2 linked regions of the Stegostoma tigrinum genome follow. The protein of the gene in region 1 purifies or fractionates together with the protein of each later gene. This does not show direct contact. Links are inferred from orthologs where the notes say so. Each region holds a gene or a part of one and is shown in the gene's direction. Other genes may lie near its edges.

Evidence for each region. Proteins that work in one complex are often made in the same cells at the same time.
Region 2: the proteins of pin1 (region 1) and polr2d purify together in Homo sapiens (co-immunoprecipitation; 3 studies listed by BioGRID and IntAct, with this or other methods). This does not show direct contact. The link is inferred for Stegostoma tigrinum from reciprocal best matches to the Homo sapiens genes PIN1 and POLR2D.

What each region holds. Positions count from the first base shown.
Region 1 is NC_081388.1:20,180,466-20,188,016, reverse strand, and holds the start of pin1 (peptidyl-prolyl cis-trans isomerase NIMA-interacting 1), read left to right. Parts: upstream 1-4,485; 5' UTR 4,486-4,500; coding exon 4,501-4,849; intron 4,850-7,551. UniProt on the Homo sapiens protein: Peptidyl-prolyl cis/trans isomerase (PPIase) that binds to and isomerizes specific phosphorylated Ser/Thr-Pro (pSer/Thr-Pro) motifs.
Region 2 is NC_081367.1:6,523,529-6,530,752, reverse strand, and holds the start of polr2d (DNA-directed RNA polymerase II subunit RPB4), read left to right. Parts: upstream 1-4,143; 5' UTR 4,144-4,180; coding exon 4,181-4,253; intron 4,254-5,533; coding exon 5,534-5,714; intron 5,715-7,132; coding exon 7,133-7,224. UniProt on the Homo sapiens protein: Core component of RNA polymerase II (Pol II), a DNA-dependent RNA polymerase which synthesizes mRNA precursors and many functional non-coding RNAs using the four ribonucleoside triphosphates as substrates.

The sequences.
Region 1 (7,551 bases):
GAAGGGAAATGCTGAAATAGGTGTTTGTTGCCTATCAACCCCCCCCCCCCCGAACCATCTCTTCCACTCCATGACCCCCAACACAAATTGAAATTGCTCCCTTCTTTGTGCATACTGGATTTGTCTGACCATGAAATTTGAGAAAACATTCTCTGCCACTTTACTCTGATTTTTATTTGTCTCAGTTGGAGTTTCATCATCATTATGGAGTTGAGTATGGCCAGATCTCCTTTTCCAAGCTACCATCCTACCCCCACCCCCCACTCTCTCCAAATAAGAAAAATCCTGTATTCTGTCTGAGAATTTCGTGGAAGTGAAACTCCACTTTTTTTTTTAAAATTTCCTATTTAGTTGACCAGTTCTTGGAGACTGCAGAAAATGCACATATTTGTAACCTGACCTAGAATTGTGTGGTTTGATGGTACAGAACTTGAGTATTGTTGATAAAAGGCACATTTTGTCGAAGCCCTTTGACTTGCACTCATCAGGACCATGTGCAAGAAATGGTAATGTACAGGATAGACAAATCTATTGTACTGCACAAGAGGAGACTGGCAAACAGTGAGCACAGTGGACTACCTGCATGGCTGATAACTTTCTACATCACTAATTGGTTGCTCCTTTTCTAAAGTTGTTACCTTTCAGATATCCTGCTGAGGACGGATGCTGCCAAGTTCCTACAATTTAAAAAAAATATTCAAACTAAAGTAACTATTGAATGTTTCCCATGTTTCATGACTGCAAGAACCAGTGTGCCAGATTTTACTCTTGGTTGGTCAAACTGCCCTGTGACCTTCATCTTAGAGTAAAATAATGTGTTGGTGATTTTGCTGAATGGTATCTTACGGTCCTTGAAATAATTCTCTTGTACTGGAAATCACAAAGGAAGAATGATTGAACTCTTCAATAATTATCTCTCTTTCAAAGCTACTGACCTGAAACACTGTATCGACTCTGACTCCAGCATTGGCAGTTATTGCTATCTCCAACCTGAAACATTTCCTTATCTCTTCCTCTGCAGGGTCCTGTCTGACCCAAATACGTTCCAGAATTTTCTGTTTTTATTAAAATAGCAGCCTATTTCAGTTGCAATCTTAATCTCGCTTTAATGATTTTAGGACAGTCATCTATAAGCAAATGTATAGACAAGTTTTTTTTTATATTTTGAATTCATTGGCTTAATATTATGACTAATATTGCATGGCTATTCACTCATTTATCTTGTGTATTTCAACTTCAGTTCTTTTAACCTTTTCAACTATTTGCTGAGACGTTTTAAAAGCTCATTGGAAAATTAATTTGACTTCATATCATAAAGCCATGTTTTGCGACTGATGTACCATTGTAAGCAGTTTATAACTTCACTGGTCTCTGTCCTCTTGGTAACAATTTAGACATGTCTCCAGTTTTCAAAGTCCAGATTAAACCAGTACGCCACTGTTGCTATTCAGATTTATTTTTTGCTCTGCCCAGAATGTAACTTATTTTTAAAATGACAAATTGTGGGAATTAAAATAATGGAGGTTGTAATTATTTACATTGCAAGGTGCTCTTTTTCTGTTCAGTGGGCTTGTGTTTCAGTAGCAGAGTTTTATTAGCTATGAATCTAGGCTCTGCATGAAAGTACTCATTCTCCACAAATATTAAAATGATCCCCAGTAAAGCCATGTTGGATTATATGAACACAGGGAATTATCTATTAATGCAGCTGAAATTGCAACCTGGAAGCTTGAGCCAAGCTCCAGTAGCTTTACTATGTTGAATATATCAAAAATTTTAATTTTGTCATGATAAAAGATAACTTGCTTGAAATATATGCTTCATTTTATTGCTGATAATAGACTGGTGATAGACTTTTTTTAACGTAAGCCTGGCTGAGGACTTTATAATTGGTTTTAACATTTTATATGTATCATTTTTCCATGGCCTTGGGTAAAAACATGTAGGTACATTGATAATCTGTTCTCTAAGACTGTCATGGGCTCTTAGATTGCTTAGTAATGGGTATAGTGGAATAATTTCATAGTGTTTGTCTGAATATTGATTTCTGTTATGTGAACTTCAGTTCCTTTGTGTTTTCTCAATTCTTACTTTGTGGCTGTTGTCCAAAAATGTCCAATAGTGCCAGTTTGTTGTTTTCGTGTTTAACAAGTGGAAACTTTGTGTAATCTAGTTTTCACTTAACAGAGAGGAGAAAACACGGAAATCTAGCTTAAACTGAAATCCTGGCACTTCCTTGCTGACAGTACTGTGGTTGCACCTGTACACATGGACTGCAGTAACAAGCCAGCACCACCATCTTGAGGGCATCTTTAGAGATGAGCAGCAAAATTCTGGTTCATCTTGAGATGCTGACCCCATCAATGAGTACAAAAGGAATTACAAAAATAGCAGTCTGCTAAATGTGATTTGTCTCCAGCACTTTCATGGAATTGAAAAGTTGCTGGGAAGGAGTACGTGGTTCAAAAGGTTAAAATGCAATCCAGACTGATTCATAGGGAGTGGGTGATCCTTGGAATTCTCTGTCCCAAAGGGTTTGGTGACTTAGTTATTGAGAGAATCCAAGAGGGATCTGTTATTAAATATATAAAGAGAGATGGTGTTATTGCACAAAAGATCTCTTAACAAGAAGATCAACCATGATCACACTGAATGGCAGAGCATGAGTCCTGCTCCTATTTCATTCATTTATGAGAAAAGTAGCTTGAAAAGTGCAAAAATACACATGACCATGTTTGGACTATGCAGTGAAAATTTTTTAAAAATTCATGATTGGTCCAGAGCTGTTGGAAGCACCACATGATGGCAAGTTGTATTATTGATGTTTATTTAATACTCATTTATTTTAAAGTCTGAAATCCTGGCACATCCTCCCTAAAAGCACCATGTTTGTAACTAAGATAACAAAGTGTGAAGCTGGATGGACACAGCAGGCCAAGCAGCATCTCAGGAGCACAAAAGCTGACGTTTCGGGCCTAGACCCAGACCACAGATTGCTCAGTAACGAAAAGTGGTATAAATCAGAGCAAAGCAACATGTATATAGTTTCATAAAGCATATATTCTAAAACCGTTTTCTTCAGAAAGCCAAGTTCATGATGGTGTCTCTTTTAGATTCAACCTGTAGCTGGTACCATAAAATGGCAGCCTGAAGACAGGGCTCCAAACTAGACACATGCTGTTTTCAGTCCAGCCTTCACAGTTCATCACAACACACACTTTACTGCAGGAAGCAATCTAGATTACCCAAAACCCTTCCATGTAAACAACTTCAGCAACATATCCTTGCTGAACACTTAACACTTGATTTAATTAGATTCAGAACATAGTGTAATGTATTTGTGTCACTTGCAGTCAGGTGAATGTAGGAAGGCAAAGATGTCAGAATAGTGTTATCTTCCAAAAGAAAACATTTGTGCCCCCTTTGCCTTACCAGAGGCCTACATAGCATTTCTAATGATGTACTGAATGCTGAATTTATGTCCTAAAAATGAAATTGTCTAATCTTTCAAATTGTTAAATATGAAGAATGCAGCAAAACAAATTTAGTCAGAAGAATAAGATTCTGTGAATAAGAGGACCATAGTACCAAAAAAAATCTTACACATGTCAAGGAAGCTGTATGTCAAGTTTGAATGTTGTTCTCTCTGTGGTAGTTTGTTCACGTATGTATTGACTGCCCGGATTAAGTTCACAGTTGATTTGTACAGAGGCTGCAGTCTTTACACATGATGGGAGCACACTTTTCTGTGAATGACCTCCAAGACCAACAAAGGGGAAAAAGCACCTCAAGCAGGCACCAAATAAGTCTGTTGACCAACAACAAATATTATGCATTTAAGGTTAGAGTTTCTGTAGTTGTCATGTGTTTTTGTGTTTTTTTTTGGACATGTGGATCTCAGTGTTGCGACAAGTTGTGATAGATAAATCTCTGCTATAAATTCCTAATGATTTTTGTGTAATTTTGTGCTTTTTGAGATGATGGATGCAAAGAAGGTTTGATGCCACAAATGCTGTCTGTCCAGTTAGCCATACTGCAGTTGCTTGTATGCATATGGCAAATGATGGAATAAAGTAAGTTAAGCTATGGTGCCCAGTACTGATGAACATTTTCTTTCAATGTGCTTTTGGGGGTGTGCATTCTGTGGCTTTAGCCAGGGCACAGTGGTAAAACTGTCTTGTCAAGGTCAGGCTCTGTAAGGATGTAGCTGCAATGTCTGGTCTGACACTGAAATTTGAGAGTGCTGCACTGTTGGAAATTAGTGAAACGATTGAATGAAGTTCTAATTCCCCTCGTGACAGTCAATTCTAACATCAAAGAGGGGCTCGTTGGCCGATATTCATCCACCTGGCTGCATCTCTTTTTATAACAAAAAAATCCAGTCCTAATGACTTTTTTTAAGGCCTTTCACATTTCTTTCAAAATGTAGTATTTAAGTTGTTGTAATGTGTGTTTTGTAGTGAAGGATGTTGTAGAAACCCATGTTGATATCCAGTGCCCATGGAACTGCATCTGAGACTTCTGAAGAAATCGGGACAAGGGCTCTGGAGTGGAGCGAGGAAGGAGAAACTATTCAAATCAGGTTTTGCAAGGTGTGTCTTGATTGGTTTGCTTGCATCTCTGATGCCATTTGATATTTCTTTTGCAGGTCGCATTTACTTCTTCAATCATATAACTAATCGGAGTCAGTGGGAGCGACCAAAAGCTGGGGGGAATTACAATTCTGTTGAGCCTGACAAAGTTCGTTGTTCCCACCTGTTAGTGAAGCACAACCAGTCACGCAGGCCTTCTTCGTGGAGACAGGAGGAGATCACACGCAGCAAGGAGGAGGCACTAGAGACATTAAATGGTAAGCTGATAACCAATGCACACCTCAGCAAGAGCACAAAAGCCTCTGTTTGTACTGTTAAGATGTCTTGATGGGTGCAAAAGAGGAGAGCATAAATGTGTTTGAAATAATTACAGAGGCTGGTGTCTTGTGACCAAGTCACCCTTTATTTACATGTGTGCAGTACAAGGGCTCTGAGTCAGTTCCGTGACTGAGGAGACCTTCTGAATCTCCCATTTATATCTGTCAGCCAGGGCTCCCTGATTGCCTCAGGTTAGCAGCCCTAGTCAAGGACCTCATAATCAATGACATTCACCTGGCCCAATTTGTGCTCAGCTTGATTTGGAACATTTTTGAGGTTTTATGACTATAGCAAATTTTTGGGGAAATGTCAGTTGAATGGTATGTCACAAACCCCTTCCCAAGCTGGTTGAGTGAGCCACCCTTAAGAATATATCAGTGTTACTCTGCAAGTAGGCACTTGGAAGGTGTGTGAAAACCTTTGGGGATGATTGATCTTCTAATCTCTTCATCCCCGCTGCCCTCAGTAAAATTCTTGGTATTTGCAAGATCCCCAGTATGTTGATACTAATGAGGCATGGAGCTTGCTGCATATGATTCTAGGTGATGCATTGGATTCATCAATGGTGAGATTTGCATTGCCCTGTTGATTTGAGTGCTGTATGCTTTTCCTTTGTTTTAATATTTCAGAGGAGATTTTTTGCCTTGGAATTGATTCAACACTACAGACATAATAGACTGTCTAGTTTCTGTCCTAAAATGTACCAATATTCTTAGATTAAGGACATGACAGGCAAAAGTGTTTATTCCTGCCATACACAGGTGCTAGTAATTTTGGCATAGCATGAACCCTCTTGTAAACTATTGGGAAAGAAAATGTTTTTGTGTGTCATACATCTAAAGGCAAAGTAGAAATGCACAGGTTAATATCAGAATAGGTAAAGAAAATTTGGGCTCAGACATCTTATTCTTTTGTCAGGAACAGAAGTCTATCTTTAGTGATTATCTTCAGTTGTAAGTTATCTCAGGCAACCAGCTTGTAACTTATGTCCATTTCAAGCCCACCGACTCCCACAGCTACCTAGAATACACTTCCTCCCACCCACCCTCCTGCAAAAATTCCATCCCCTGTTCCCAACTCCTCCGCTTCCGCCGCAGCTGCTCCCACAATGAGGCATTCCACTCCCGCACATCCCAGATGTCCAAGTTCTTCAAGGACCGCAACTGTCCCCCCACAGTGATCGAGAACGCCCTTGACCGCGTCTCCCGTATTTCCTGCAACACATCCCTCACACCCCGCCCCTGCCACAACCGCCCAAAGAGGATCCCCCTCGTTCTCACACACCACCCCACCAACCTCCGGATACAACGCATCATCCTCCGACACTTCCGCCATCTACAATCCGACCCCACCATCCAAGACATTTTTCCATCCCCACCCCTGTCTGCTTTCTGGAGAGACCACTCTCTCCATGACTCCCTTGTTCGTTCCACACTGCCCTCCAACCCCACCACACCCAGCACCTTCCCCTGCAACCGCAGGAAATGCTACACTTGCCCCCACACCTCCTCCCTCACCCCTGTCCCAGTCCCCAAGATGACATTCCACATTAAGCAAAGGTTCACCTGCACATCTGCCAATGTGGTATACTGCATCCACTGTACCCGGTGTGGCTTCCTCTACATTGGGGAAACCAAGCGGAGGCATGGGGACCGCTTTGCAGAACACCTCCGCTCAGTTCGCAACAGACAACTGCACCTTCCAGTCGCAAACCATTTCCACTCCCCCTCCCATTCTTTAGATGACATGTCCATCATGGGCCTCCTGCAATGCCACAATGATGCCACCCGAAGGTTGCAGGAACAGCAACTCATATTCCACCTGGGAACCCTGCAGCCTAATGATATCAATGTGGACTTCACCAGTTTCAAAATCTCCCCTTCCCCCACCGCATCCCTAAACCAGCCCAGATCTTCCTCTCCACCCACTGCATCCCAAAACCAGTCCAACCTGTCTCTGCCTCCCTAACCTGTTCTTCCTCTCACCCATCCCTTCCTCCCACCCCAAGCCGTACCCCCATCTACCTACTAACCTCATCCCACCTCCTTGACCTGTCTGTCTTCCCTGGACTGACCTACCCCCTCCCTACCTCCTCACCTATACTCTCTCCACCTATCTTTTCTCTCCATCTTCGGTCCGCCTCCCCCTCTCTCCCTATTTATTCCAGAACCCTCACCCCATCCCCCTCTTTGATGAAGGGTCTAGGCCCGAAACGTCAGCTTTTGTGCTCCTGAGATGCTGCTTGGCCTGCTGTGTTCATCCAGCCTCACGTTTTATTATCTTCAGTTGTAATTTCTGTTCTCATTTGCTGCCTGACCTCCGTGTTTCCCAGAATTCTGTTCTACTTGCACAGACCGCTTGGGCGATTGCTTATTTTGAGCTAAACCTTCCCGAATGAGTTGATGAAGGTTGAATGGATCATGATTGATGGAAATATTTGGGTGAGATTGCACTGGCACAATATGAAGTGTTGTTAACCTCCCACATGCATAGTTGTTGATTTCATTAATGCTATGTGGAAGAACGGTAGTGTCAAGACTGGCCCTTGCAAATGATATGCCTTTTGTCATGGATACTAAGTTCATGGCAAGGTATGGACTAATGTAGGCATGCCAGCGGCCGGTCTGAGACTTGAGAGATT
Region 2 (7,224 bases), on another chromosome or scaffold:
TTTGGGGAAATGCAGAAAACTGGAGATGAGGATTATCAGATCAGCCATGATCTTGTTAAATAGTGTAGCGAACTCAATGGGCTGAATGGGCAGAATGAATCTACCCTACACCTTGTGTTCTTATGACCTTACCTGAAATGACAAAGGTTTTATTAGTTAGCTCTGCTACTCGGCACTTTTTAGAGATCATTTCTATTAGTCACTAATTTATTCAAATTATTGCTTTGGAATTTTGTTTCAAATTCATGTTTAGTATTTATGACTTTATCTGCCCAAAATTTGTTAGCTGGCCCTGTATGAGAGATAAATGGAAAGATAGTTCCTCATACAAAACAATTGGAAATCCCTGATATGTTTGTGTGAAGACCCCAAACATTTGGCATTAGCTAAAGACAAAGATGACACAAAGCTAGGTAGGAAAATATGTCAAAAGAACATAAAGAGACTACGAAGGGATTTAGTCAGGTAAGTGAGTGGACAAAAACTTTCGAAATCAAATTGGCAAAGATGGCCTGTAGGATGTGTTCCTGGAATAGTTTCAAAGACAATACACACTGGAAGCTACAAGGGAACAACTTTATCAATTGGGAATGAAACAGAATAAATTAATGACCTTTACAGTAAAGGATGCCTTCGAGAGGAGTGAATAAGGCATGAAAGAATTTGAGATTCAGTTTGAGTGAGAACTGCAGGTCCATAACAAATCTTTGGATAAAGGCAGAAGGATGTCCAAACAGTTAGCGAAAGTCAATAGTCTTCAAGGTTAAAGATAAAAAGTCACCCCATGAATATTAGAAAATCAATCAGCAAAATGAAGGAAGTGAAAGAAAACAGTCACCAAAAAAGCACAGGAAAAGCAACAGAAATCAAACACACTGACAAGTCCACTGGATCTGATTGTCTGCATTCTGTGGAATAAATGAAACTAGCGACAGAGAAATGGTAAATGCATTGGTTGTAATCTTCCAAAATTCCCTAGATTCTGGAACAGACCCAGCCCAGTGGAAAACCAGAAAATACACCTATGTCCAAGAAAGGAGAAAGACAAAGAAATGATAGATTAGTTACTCCAATGTCTGGCATTAGGAAAATGCTACAATTCACTACAAAGTAGGTAGTGGAAGGACAATCTGAAATTAATACTATCAAGGAGAGTAAATATGGTTTTGTGAAAGAAAAATTTGATTGATATTTGCAGTAATGTCCTTTAAGAATGTAACAAGCGACATATTTAAAGGGGAACTAGTAGCTGTAGTGTATTTGGATTTCTGAAAGGCATTTGATAAAATCACTGCATGAAAGCCAACCACAAAAGGTAAGCATTCATGGTGTTCAGGGTGTTTAGCATGTGTAGAGAATGAACTAAGAAGATAAAAGTGGTTGAGATAAATGTGTCATTAGTATGATGACAAACTGTAACTAGCAGAATACCACAGGGATCAGTACGAGAAACTGACTATTCACCATCTATGTCCGTGACTTTGTTAAAGGGACTGACTGTTTTGTAGCCAATTCTGCTGATAATACAAAGATAAGTTGGGAATTAAATCTACAAAGAATGGGGAGTCAGAAATTATCAGATATAATGCAATGTGGGAAAATGTGAGGTCATCCAATTTGGCAGAAATAGAAAAGCAGACTATTATTTAAGGCAGAGAGACACTGCAGACTTCTTATATATATCACAAATAATCAGCCACCAAGTGCAGCATGTCATTCGGAACACAATGGATTTTAGGCTTCGGCACCCTTGTGACACATTGGTAGATCTCTACCTCTGAGTCAGGTGGCCTAGGTTCAGATCCCACCACTCCAGAGGTGTTACATCCCTGAACAAGTTGATGAGGCAAGTGTTTGGAATGTTGGCATTTATTACAAAAGGAGTGGAGAATACAGGTAGGGATGTCTTAAAACTGCAGAGGCCATGAGTGAAATCACATTGAGCACAACTCTGGTCAGCTTAAGGAGGGAACCCTACTTACACTGGAAGCAGGAGGAGAGTCACTTAGAAGATTTGCAGGATGAAGAGGTCTGTCTTATAAGGAGAGGTTGAGCAGAATGGGCTTGTTGGAGGTTAGGAGAATGAGATCTTATTGACACAAAGACGTTTCTGAGGAGGCTTGTCAAGATGGATTCTGAAAGGATGTTTGCCCTCAGGTGCAAGTCTAGAATTAGAAGCCAGAGTTTTAAAATAATGAGTTTCCCATTTAAAATGAAAATTACTCATTCCCTTAGAGGCAGGTTGACCAACATTTGAGGAAAAGATTAGGGGAGGCTCACCAAATCTTAAGTGTTGCTGAACTTCCAAGGACAGATTGCAGCTGAAAATGAGTAGGTAGGTGGTTGTTGAGACTTTACCTCTGATGAAGTTGTTGGAGCAGAAGACCAGCAAAGCATTCTGTGCATAAACCATTACCACAACGCTCAAAAGTCAAAGATCTCTAAATGGCACCTGTGGGGACTGTTGACAGTTTTTGGGAATCCAGAACAGAACCCACAGTATTGGAGGTATTATATTGGCATGAATGGCGAATTGACTAATGGGCAGGAAACAGTCAGTGGTGATAAGGGTTTTTTTTCAGCTTGGTGACTTGTAACCAGTGGGTTCCACATGGACCAGTGCTGGACCGCAACTGTTTACTGGAGTATAAGAGTAGGGAAGTCTTATTGTAACTACAAGGTGCTAGTGAGACCACATCTGGAGTACTGTGAGAGCAATTTTGGTCCACTTATTTAAGGAAATTATTTAAATGGAGGCAGTTCAAAGAAGATTCACCAGGATGATCGCTGGTATAGAGGACTTGGCTGATGAGAGGTTGAACAGATTGGGACTCTACTGTTGGAACAAGAGTGATATCATTGAAACTATAGGATTCTTCAGTAGCTTGACAGGGTCAAATGCTGAAAGCATGTTTCCCCTCATGGGAGACTCTAGGACCTGAGGGCATAGTCTCACAATAAAGGGGCATCAATTTAAGACTGAGATGAATAGGAATTCCTTCTCTCAGAGGATTGAGAGTCTTGGGAACTCCGTGCTACAGAAAGTTGTTTTGGCACGGGGTCCTTATGTGTATTTAAGGCTGAGATAGGTTCTTGATCAATAGGGAAATGAAGGGTTACAGGGAAAGAGCAGGAAATAGGAGACGAGGAATGTTGAATCAACCATTATGCTATTGAATGGCAGAGCAGGCTTGAAGGGCTGAACAGACTACTCCTGTTTCAATTTCTTATGGTCTTAATAGTTGGTCACCCTCTGTAGAGGGTAGTTTGTGTTTTGAATTCACATGGAAAGCAATGTAATTTGGGCTATTGAATACATTCAAGTCGGAGTTATATATTGACAAGGGAGTCAAAGATTCCAAGGAGGTCAGGCATGAAAATGGAGATAAGGCCACAATCAGATCAGCCATGCAAGGTGAAGTAGACTCAGGGCTGACCTGAGTCACCTGGGTATGTTCTTATTGAAAGGGACATTGTTCTTCCTCAGGGAGTAGACCCATAGAATTATATAAGTATTATGGTGCACATGAAGCCATTCAGCTCATTGTGCTGACAACAGCTTGTGAAAAGTGCACCAATACCTAGTGCCAGTATCCTGCTTTCCCCTCATAGCTTTGAGTGTTATTTACATCGCCCTCTTGAATGCGTCAATTCAATGTGCCTCCATCACATTTCCAGGCAGTGCATTCCATAGCCTAACTACTCACTGTTTGTACAGGTTTTTCCTCACTTCACCCTTGTTTCTTTTGTAGATCACTTTAGCTTTATGTCCTCTTGTTCTTACATAAAACAAAGAGAATGTGCATACTGCAGATCTGAAACAAAACAGAAATTGCTGGAGAAACTGAGCAGGTCTGGGCAGCCTCTGTGGCGAGGATGCAGAGTTAAAGTTTCGAGTACAGATTCCCTTCTTCCTCTTACGAGCGGGACCCATTCAGTCACTCAGAATCATGACGCTGATTGACCGACTCAATCCAACAAAATGTTTTAACGAATAGGAAGGCAAGAACCCGGGCCAGGCTGGAGCCACACTGTTCCCAGGCTATTTTCAGTGACCAGGTTCCGCCTGTATCAAACGTGGCAGCGCCCGGGGTGGGGGGGAAGCCGTACAGCTTTTGCGCATGCGTCTGGATGGGCTGGGATCTGGTCTGGTCTTGTTCCGGGTCAGTGAGGACTTGCAATGGCGGCCTGTGGTAGTGAGGCCCGGGTCGGCGATGTGGAGGAGGACGCTTCCCAGCTGGTGTTCCCGAAAGGTACTGGCGGAGAGGGAGAGGGATGGATATGATGATGATAATGGGGTGAGAAAGGTAAATCATTGAAAGTTCCTGCTGTATTCTCAGTCAGTTCTCACTCTGTTTTATATGCTCAATTCACTTCTAGTTTGCCCTTCAAGAAATGCTGCATAAAGACATAACATAAGCGACAGGCCACCAAGTTCAAGAGAGAATGATAACAATAGCAGCAGTATGCTCAGGGAACAGGGTGAAGGGTTGGCCACTGAGCATGCCACTTTCATTCTCCTTTTGTGAGTCAGAGAATCCCTGTAGTACAGAAGGAGGCCATTTGGCCCATAGAGGTCGGCACTGACCCTCTGAAAAACATCCCCGGCAGACCCACCCCATCCTTGTAACCCTGCATGGGGCTTTTAACCATGGCCAATCCACATCTTTGGACTGTGGCAGGAAACTGGAGCACCCGGAGGAAAACCACACGGATACAGGGAGAATATGCAAACTCCACATGGACAGCCACCCAGGGTCGGAATTGAACCTGTTACCCGGCACTGTGAGGCAGCGATGCGAACCACTTTCAGGAAAGCCTCAGAGTTGTAGAATCATACAGCACAGTAAAGGCTTTTCTTGCCCTTGAGTCTGTTCCACCATAAATACACTACTTCCTTTGCTATTCCCACTTAAGTTCTTCACTTACCTTTTTTAAAAAAAAGCTTATGAATTGCTTTCTGCCAAATTCCAACTGTACACATCTACTACTCAGCAAATGTTCCACTGGAGAAGCATGTATGTGGCACAATGATTTAATCCTCTGAAATTACCTTGCTCAATGTGTGCAATACGGTACTGTTCGCTCCCTCTTTCTAGGCTTCAGATATGGAAACTCAGTACACAGGAATGGAAGGAGTTAACCTGTTATCAGGTGATCGCTCAGAGATAGCAAGAACTGCAGATGCTGGAGTCAGAGATAACACAGTGTGAAGGTGGGGGAAGAGGAACACAGGCTAAGCAGCAGCAGAGGAGCAGGAAAGTTGATGTTTCGGGTTGGGACCTTTCTTTAGAAATCTTCAGAAATCAAGGGACCTGACCCGAAACGTCAATTTTCCTGCTCCTCTGCTGCCTGGCTTGCTGTGTTCCTCCAGCTCCACACTTTGTTACCAGTTGATAGATGTTTGAGCTTAAGTACTATCAATATGGTATTCAAAAAACTAAGTTATTGGAAGTTGTTTGGGAGGGGCATTGTTAGGTAACTGACTGAAGGTTTGGCTACATTTTGGTTGTTTTGTTTTATGTTGTCACAGAGTTTGAAAGCTCAGAGACCCTGTTAAACTCTGAGGTCCACATGTTGCTGGAGCACCGGAAGCAGCAGAACGAAAGTGCAGAAGATGAGCAGGAGCTCTCTGAAGTGTTTATGAAAACGTTAAACTATACAGCCAGATTCAGCCGCTTCAAAAATAGGGAGACCATTGCCAGTGTTAGGAGGTCAGTGCGTGAGGATTCGAAAATATTCAGTGCACCTACTGATCTGCAGTATTGCTCTTGCTGGGGTTGGGAGGGGTGAATTAATTCTCTTACTTGTCCCATCCTTCCCTGGTCCCAACAGATTTGGAATTTGAAAGGGGGGGGGTATTTTCAATTATATATAGTATCAGATTGTATATTTAGTCCACATCAAAGCAAGTCAGCCATGGTCTTTAAGTAACAAGTCACGAATTAACTTATTGTATATGAAGCTTACTGAAGCAAATTGTTGAGATTAACTTAAGGTTTAAGCTGTCAAATATATTCAATTTCTCCTGAAAAATAACACTCACTCACTCGGATGCAGTGAGAGAGACAAATTTGAAAACATTTCAATGTGTTTTCTTAAGTGTTTAACCAAGTTACAATCTAATTTTTTAAAAAATCAGTGTCCAAATGGTAATCTGTAGCAGAGTCACTTTGCTTACAAAATATTGGCAATAGGATTTCTTCCTGGATCACATGTGACTAGCTGATTTTCTTTTGAATTTGGTGATAGATTCTGATTCTCCTTCAAGAACTCAGAGTGCAGCAATCAGAACTATTCCCATTAGGAACTAATACTTGATGAAATCTTTCAAAAGGTTTATAACTCAAACTTTTAAGATGAGTTTCAGAGAAAACAGAGATGGTAAGGGCTGTGCTCAAGGCAAGTTATCTCTCTGGTTATCTGAGCTCAAATCATCTACTTTTCTTTCCCTGGAACCAAAACTGGATCATGTGACTTTTCTGAAGGTGTTGTGGACTTGGCATCTTCATTGAAACAACCTGTTCCTTCTAAATGCAATGGTTTTGCTACTGTAGTCATTGTATTTTGTTTTGCAGTGTCTCTTCCTAAAAGTTCAAAGCACATATGTCCAAACAGTGCTATTATAATAATGTGACAGCTAAATTGTCTTTGTGACAGTATTCACAGCAAATTTCAGGCAAATTCAGTGGCAAGTGGGCTAATTCTATCCTCTGAGCTTAGTGCACAATTATCCTATGATGACATATTGCACAATTTTGACTTCTGACTAAGTATGAAGGTTGATAACTTGATCCTCTTGAATACTGATCCTTTTTGCCTGCTTTTGGCTCAAAGTTAACAACTGTGGCTGGGATCTGTTGACTGTGTTTGACAAGGAAATGTTTCCTGGTAACTATATCAACTTTGTCATTTTCTTTCAGTAGTTATTTTATTATCTTTCAATTTACTTGTCTACTATTAACTGTCTTACTCTATTATCACAGATAAATAGAATTGATCATATTATTCTTCTCAGTCCTGTTTACGCTTGTGTTGTATTTAATCACATTTAGGCTCTTGTGAAGAGATCGAGTTGAACTAGTGTGTGGCTTTCATTTGAAGTATAGCTTTCACATTCTCTTTCTTGTAGTCTGCTATTACAGAAGAAATTACACAAATTTGAGCTAGCCAGTTTGGCCAATCTGTGTCCTGAGACAGCTGAGGAGGCCAAAGCCCTCATTC